Macaca fascicularis: one gene and its partner. The protein of the gene in region 1 interacts with the protein of each later gene in a pairwise test. Links are inferred from orthologs where the notes say so. Each region holds a gene or a part of one and is shown in the gene's direction. Other genes may lie near its edges.

Region 1 (3,562 bases):
AGGTTATAGTGAGCTATGATCATGCCACTGTACTCCAGCCTGAGTGTTAGAGTAAGATTCTGTCTCTAAAAAAAGCAAGCAAACAAACAAACAAAAAATCTATTTCAGGTGTCCAATAATGATTTTTTTAGTAATTGACCTAGTGATGCAATCATCACTATAAATCAGTTAAATGTTTTCCTTCCCCCAAAAAGATCCTTCATGCCCATTACAGCTAATCCTTGTTGCTGCCCTCAGCCCCAGGCAATTGCTAATCAACTTTGTGTATCTCTTTACAATTCTTTTGCTGGACATTTAATGTAAATTGATTCATGCATTTTGTATATTCTTGTGTCTGGAGTATTTCATTCACCATGCTTTGAAGTTCTTTCATGACATAGCCAGTAGTTTGTTCCTTTTTATTGGCAAATAACTTCCCTGGCTGGGTGCAGTGGCTCATGCCTATAATCCTAGCACTTGGGGAGGCTGAGGCAGGAAGATTGCTTGAACCCAAGAGTTCAAGACCAGCCTGGGCAACATAGTGAGACCTCATCTCTACAAAAAGTAATTTTAAAAAGTTAGCCGAGTGTAGTGGTGCACACCTGTAGTCACAGTTACTCAGGAGGCTGAGATGGGAGGATCGCTTGAGCCCGGGAGTTTGAGGCTGCAGTGACCTATCATCATGCCACTGCACTCCATCCTGGGTGACAGAGCAAGACAGCAAAAAACCAAATCACTTTTATTTTATGGATGTAGCATATTTTGTTTATCTGTTCGCCCGTTGATGGACATTTATATTGTTTCCAGAATTTGGCTTTCTGAATAAAGCTATGAACATTCACGTGCAAGTCTGTATGGACATAAGTTTTCATTTTTGAGGGGTAGAAATCTAGAAGTGGAATTGTGAGGTGATATGGCAGTTTTATGTTGAGCTTTTTGAGAAACTGAGGGAGTGGGTTTGGAAGGAACACAAAAGAAGAGACCCTAAGTAGTGACTCGGTGGCCTTGTCTTTGTAACCTGCCAGGTAATCCTCACAGCCAGAACATCAGCAGCAAGCTCACCTATGACACTGTGGAGCAGGTGCGCTACAGGTAAGCATCAGGGACACCTGCCGAACTGGGCATACCTAGGCAGACAGACTTCCTTCCTAAGACTTGCCTGCATCCCACAAAGGTTCTGAGTTGGTTTCAGGAGGATCACAGTTGGCTAAAAGGCAATGCATGCATGTTGAGAAACATCAGAGTCAGAGCTCAGAAAGGCAGGGGTGAGTAGATGCAATGTAGGGCAGGTGAGAGGCACAGGTAGATGCACACAGCTGTTCTGTGTGGCTCCAGAGACTCTGTAGTGCCAGAGTGACAGGGAGTGACCCAGGATCCCAGGTCTTGTTTTCGGAAAGAAGAAAAGTACTAATTCTCTGGTTTTCCTTTTCATAAGAAGTTTTATTAGGCACCTTGTTTTCTTCCTGTCTTTTTTCCCTTTTTTCCCCCTTTTCTTACTAGTATTTGTATGTTAAACAGCTCTCTATACTTTCTACATGTAATAGTATCTGGCAAATAATTTCCAGGTGGTACTTAAAATTATTAACACAATTTCGAGTTATTTCAAATTTGAAAGTGGTACTGTTTTGGTATTAGGGTTGCCAAAATTAAAAGCAATGTAAACAGGTTGATTACTACTTAAACCTTGTTATGTTAGAGCTGCATAGAAAGCACCAAGGAGAGAGGGTAGTATTAAGTTTATCGTGGATTTTCGTCATACCAAATTGGAGATATCCAGTGATATTTGGGAGGTAAGAGGATTTCGCCAACTGGAACTCGTTCCCACGGCTTCCATTGCCCCTGCTCTAATTTCACAGCTGTGGCAAAGCCTATCTATCCATTCAGGTAGAGATGTCATAGTTAATAGAAACAAAACAGCCTGCAAACATTCAGCGCTGGGGCTGAGATCCGGGGGTTGCGGGGATGTTGTGCTTCTTCCAGAATCCTGGCGCACTTCCACACCACCGCGGAGGACTACACTGTGATCTTCACTTCTGGGAGCACGGCTGCTCTCAAACTGGTGGCAGAGGCCTTTCCATGGGTGTCCCAGGGCCCAGAGAGCAGTGGGAGTCAGTTCTGTTACCTCACCGACAGCCACACCTCTGTAGTGGGCATGAGGAATGTGACTATGGCCATAAATGTCACGTCCACCCCGGTCAGGCCAGAGGACCTGTGGTCTGCAGAGGAACGTGGTGCTTCGGTCAGCGACCCAGACTGCCAACTGCCGCATCTCTTCTGCTACCCAGCTCAGAGTAACTTTTCTGGAGTCAGATACCCCCTGTCCTGGATAGAAGAGGTCAAGTCTGGGCGGTTGCACCCTGTGAGCACGCCTGGGAAGTGGTTTGTGCTGCTCGACGCAGCCTCCTATGTGAGCACCTCGCCTTTGGACCTGTCAGCTCACCAGGCCGACTTTGTCCCCATCTCCTTCTATAAGATCTTCGGGTTCCCTACGGGCCTGGGTGCTCTGCTGGTCCATAATCGTGCGGCTCCTCTACTGAGGAAGACCTACTTTGGAGGAGGCACAGCCTCTGCCTACCTAGCAGGAGAGGACTTCTACATCCCGAGGCCATCAGTGGCTCAAAGGTAACCTTGCCACAGGGGAGGGGCCAGAGGAGTTCAGCAAGGTGGGGGCTGGTCTGTTTCTCCTGGAGGATTATGCAAGAGGTGGGTCTGGCTTTGGGGGTCAGCAGAATTCAGGTTGCTGGCAGGGACAGGCTGATGGCAGGGCTCAGATCTGGGAGGCAGAGGTTGACTGGAGGTGACACAGGTGGTTCAGTGAATTCTGCCCCCATTTGAGAGACTTCTCCAGAGCTGTGAGAGGACCGGGGCCTGCAGATAAGAACTACACACAGGAGAGGTGAAAGGCCCCCACGGTGTAAGGAGGGTGAGCTTCCAGGCCTTTGCCCTCAGCACTGACAAGAGATTGCAGCAGTTGAAGCAGTGGCTTTAAAAGGTGAACCCAGTGGTTTTAAAAGGTGGCACCGTTTGGAATAAGTCTACCCACACATTGACAGCATAGCTGGTTCTCCAGCACCTAGGATCAGCTCAGCCTGGCACCTAGTTAGCTGGAAGAATCAGTTAAAGCAGAGACCCCCAGACTTGTGAGGCAGTGTTAGCAGCAACCTCAGTGAGCCCCACTATGAGTGTTAAAGAGGGAGTCTGGGTACAGGCTGTCACTTGCCCTCAAATGCCAGAGGCCTCTGCCTGGGTTGTTGGCATATGCCTCATCCCCAGGCTGCAAGGGCAGGTGGTGTGAGTTATGCTCAGGAATCTTTCAGATGGTGACAGCTGGGACCTGTAAGGTCGAATGTGTCAAGGCTGAAAATGGTGGCTGACCCAGGGTTCTGCTGGATCAACAGTGGTGACACAGGGTTGGGTAGGCAACTAATCACCTACAGGATTCCGGAGAAGGCCTTGGACATAGATGGGAAGGGCTTTAGATCCCCATGGACCCCACACAGACTCAAGGGTCCTGCATGTAGGGCCATGGCCTTGACAATGGAGTCAGCATTAGCTGTGTATGCCTGAGGCTGGACCACTGGGG
Region 2 (4,132 bases), on another chromosome or scaffold:
AAGGCTGAGTAACAGCTCCTGGGAAGAAGCACAGCTGGCCTTGGCAGGAAGTGCAAGTGGGGTCTGGGAAAACATTCCAGGTCCAAGCAGCTACTCCCCACGGTTTCCATTAGGCAGACCAAGTGGCTTTTTGAGCACACTTCTTTGCTCCTTTCTTTTGTTTCCCTACTCGTCAGCAGGCACGTGGTTAGAAACAGCCACCCCAGTCTTGACTGCGAGTGATCATCAGTCACGAGCACAACTTCTGACAACAGTCTCTCCAGCTTAGTGCAGAGTCTTAACTGGGGCTAGCCAATCGGCTGCTCTTCAGTAAAGCAGTAGCGCCCTTTGGATTAGTTGTTCACCCACGTTCAATCAGCCGTAGCCTAGAGGGAAGGGGCCATAAGGAGGAAACACAGTTGCCAAGGCGCTGTGAGTCCGTGTGTGAGAGAGACAGAGGGACAAACAGCCCGAGTGAGAACTTGAGATGGGCAAGCACAATAACACGTGCCTTTTAATCATTTCCAGTATGAGTCCTTCAAACACTGTGCTTTGTGTGACTCCCCTGTTATCTCAAATGAGTCTGGTTGTCACTCGATTTTATTTAGCAGGATAAATTCTCGGGGAGGTCCTGTAGGAGCTCATGGTTGTGCTTTTCCCATTCATGTTTCCACTACCATGTGTGATCTTCGTTTATATAAGCTGCTAGAAACACGGATGTCTTAAAATAAGCAGCCTCGGCTTTACCCTTGTGCACTCCAGGCTTCTCAGTCTCGGAAGGGAGTAGAGAAGAGGAGGTTGACTATCATGGATAGGTTCAGGAGTGATTGGTTCTGCCCACTTTGGTGGGGCCTGGACGCATTTTGGTTCACTCTAGTAATTTCTTCCAGGAGCTGCAGTCTTGTGGGCGCAAGACGTGGGCCTGATAACTCCACAGGCAGTAGTGCTGGGGAAGAGCGAGCTCACCAGCCCCGGCTGGAAGACCTTGGGAGAGTAGCAGGGTTGGGTTGGTTCTCAGATTTGCTTTGCCCCAGGCTGTGTGATGGGTGCAGAGCCTGGGTAAATGAAGCTTTCCAGCTCGAGCGCTCCCAACCTGGGCACACACGGCCTCCTGTACTGCAAGTGGCAGTTTTGGGGCATCCCCCCTGCTTGGGGCAACCCAGGGGCGCAGGGCGCGGCCCTGGGAGCGCAGCTCCTTCCAGGGCAGAGGGCGGTGCGAGGGAGGGAGCGAGGGAGGGAGCGAGGGAAGGGAAAGGCGAGCGTGAGCTGCCTCAAATGCTTGGAATAATTCCGCTTCCGTTTGGAAAGCCGCAGCCTCAGCCCGCCGCCGCCGCCCGCCGCGTCCGCCCAGCGCCAGCTCCGCGTCCCGACCGGCCCGCGGCTGCCTGAGCCGCGCCATGGCCACTTCCCCGCAGAAGTCGCCTTCTGTCCCCAAGTCCCCCACTCCTAAGTCGCCTCCGTCCCGCAAGAAAGATGATTCCTTCTTGGGGAAACTCGGAGGGACCCTGGCCCGGAGGAAGAAAGCCAAGGAGGGTGAGTGCGGCCAGGCAGGCCGGGCGGGCGGTAGGAGCTGGGGGGTGCCATAGGGGCCGAGGGGCCGGGGCGCTGGGGCCGTTCGGGAGCGCGCGGCGATGAGTGCACGCGCTTCCCGGGCACGTCGGGCAGGAGCGACTCGCGCGCCACACTGAGCCTGGGGCTCGCGGGCCATCGAGGCCGCCCCTCCCGCTTGCGGCGTTGCCCTCCTGGGCCGGAGACCAGGCCGACGCCCCCGCCGGGCAGTGGGCAGGCGCCGCTTGGCGGCCGGAGGCGGCGGGACCGTAGCCCAGGCGGGGCCCCAGACCGCAGGCAGCGCGATCCGGTAGGCCCTGCCCCGCCCTCTGCGCCCGAAGGCTGGCATTTCCCAAGTTTCCGCCGCAACTTTCCTGGGCGCCGTCACTCTCACTCGTTGACTTCATTGGTCCTTAAAATCAGGTCGTTTCCTGGACCTGCTGACGTCTTGTGGTAGCAGCGTCGTGGCGTTGGCCTCTTCGGATCTTTTGTCCATCCCGAGGGCCGAGAAGGGCCCTGTTAATGGAGTAGGTGGACATCGAGTGTTTGTTGAATGAATGAGCGAAAAACTGGCAAACCTAGCGTGCCCTCGGTGTAATACACGATAAACCCCTACCAAAGGAGAAAACCTGCGTGAGACACAAACATCGTCGTGGGCCTCCCCCCGCCCCACCAGAGTGAATTGAGGCGACCTTATTCTTTTTTTTTTTTTTTTCAGGGTAGTTTGCATGTAGAATATTTTTTGCCCATGGGCAGATTTTGCGTCCTGGTTTTTGGTTTGAAAACTGAGGTGGCAGTTCTCAAGAAGCACTGATGTGTAGATAGAAGATTGGTGTGTAGATAGAAGTTGCTGAGTTAAAATTTTTTGTTTTAAACATTTTTTGAATTGACGCATGATGTACATAGTTTTGGGGCACATGTGATTAATACATTCATATAATTTGTAAAGCTCAAGTTGTTACAGGAAAGGGGTCCCAATCCAGACCCCAAGAGAGGGTTCTTGGATCTCACACAAGAAAGCATTCAGGATGAGTCCACACAGTAAAGTGAAAGCAAGTTTATTAAGAAAGTAGATTAATAAAAGAATGGCTACTCCATAGACAGAGCAGCCTGGGGATGCTGGTTGTCCATTTTTATGGTTATTTCTTGATGGTATGCTAAACAAGGGGTGGATTATTCATGCCTCCTCTTTAGACCATATAGGGTAACGTTGCCATGGCATGTGTAAACTGTCATGGTACTGGTGGGAGTGTATCAATGCAGAAGACCAGTGTCTGCACTGATGGCCATTTTGGTTTTGGGTTTTAGCCGACTTCTTTACTGCAACCTGTTTTATCAGCAAGGTCTTTATGACCTGTGTCTTGTGCCGACATCCTATCTCATCCTGTAAGTTAGAATGCCTTAACCTTCTGGGAGTGCAGTCCAGTGGGTCTCACTCAGCCTTATTTTACCTAGCCCCATTCAAGATGGAGTTGCTCTGGTTCACATGCCTCTGACAAAATCAGTGTACTTGGGATATCCATCACCTTAAATATTTGCCTTTTCTCTATGCTAGACCACTGGAATTCTAGATATTTTGAAATATACAAGAGGTTATTGTAAAATATAGTTACTTTACCAATCTAACACTAGGTCTTCTTCTATCAAATGGTATATTTGTAACCATTAATCAACTTCTCTTGCCCCCTAAAAAATGTTTTTAATAGATTGCCCGTGAATTGGAAATAACCTTTTGAAAGCTGTGATGCTGTGTAAAATGTTTCATGTTTGTAAGTCATCTTAAAGTATAAAAACGTCTTCAGTGTTCAGGATTATCAGACTTGAAGAACTAGACTTCTGTTCTTTAGATTGAAACGAGAAGCAGCAAAAACATACGAAAGTTTCCCCACATTGGTTATTTTGGTAACCCACTGAGTAGTGTACAGTTGGTGGCAAATCATGAAACCCTGGCTTGGAAAGCTCTTTTCTAGACCATGTTTCTAACTTATTCCTTACAGCATTCCTGACATAGTCTCATCCGGTTTAAGATGGGGCAACTGAGAAATATTGAAGCTCATGCAATAAAAAATATCTGCTACCAGGAGAACCATCTTTACCTACTCTGTAGAAAGGTTTATTTTATATTTAGCCCAAAATGTATCTCTCTGTACCTATTACTGTTGGAGCCAGAGAATGAGTCTGGGGTGGCCTTTTATTGATACCTTGCTGAAGTAGGCTATCCTGCTTTCTTGAGTCTTCTCGCCACTGGGCCCAACATCCTCTATTCCTCACAGACATAATTTTAAGGTCTTTTGCATCTTGTCTCTTTAGTTTCAGTCAGGGTCCCTGCAGGAAAAAGGCCAATTTGTTGAGATTTTGAAAATAGTTTAGTGAAGGGGCTATTGACAGAGCTGTGGGCAGGGTTAAGGGAACTAAGACGGGATGCTGAGGTCCCTAGGGGCTAGCAACAGGGGGAAGCTCTTAATCACTCAGAGGCCTGAGGGACAAGGGAAGCAAATTGGAACCTATTACAAGCTGGGGCTATGGACGAGGGGCTGCTGGACTGGAACTATAGTCATAGAGGGATGCAGCCACTGTCAGAAATGTGCAGACAGAGCAAGAAGAG

Evidence for each region. The genes of interacting proteins can lie anywhere in the genome.
Region 2: the proteins of MOCOS (region 1) and PARVA interact in binary tests that used the Homo sapiens proteins (3 or more experiments, as listed by UniProt). The two-hybrid records come from large-scale screens. The link is inferred for Macaca fascicularis from reciprocal best matches to the Homo sapiens genes MOCOS and PARVA.

The regions. Positions count from the first base shown.
Region 1 is NC_088392.1:53,689,026-53,692,587, reverse strand, and holds part of MOCOS (molybdenum cofactor sulfurase), read left to right. Parts: intron 1-1,004; coding exon 1,005-1,071; intron 1,072-1,959; coding exon 1,960-2,601; intron 2,602-3,562. UniProt on the Homo sapiens protein: Sulfurates the molybdenum cofactor. Sulfation of molybdenum is essential for xanthine dehydrogenase (XDH) and aldehyde oxidase (ADO) enzymes in which molybdenum cofactor is liganded by 1 oxygen and 1 sulfur atom in active form.
Region 2 is NC_088388.1:53,393,443-53,397,574, reverse strand, and holds the start of PARVA (alpha-parvin), read left to right. Parts: upstream 1-1,281; 5' UTR 1,282-1,376; coding exon 1,377-1,512; intron 1,513-4,132. UniProt on the Homo sapiens protein: Plays a role in sarcomere organization and in smooth muscle cell contraction. Required for normal development of the embryonic cardiovascular system, and for normal septation of the heart outflow tract.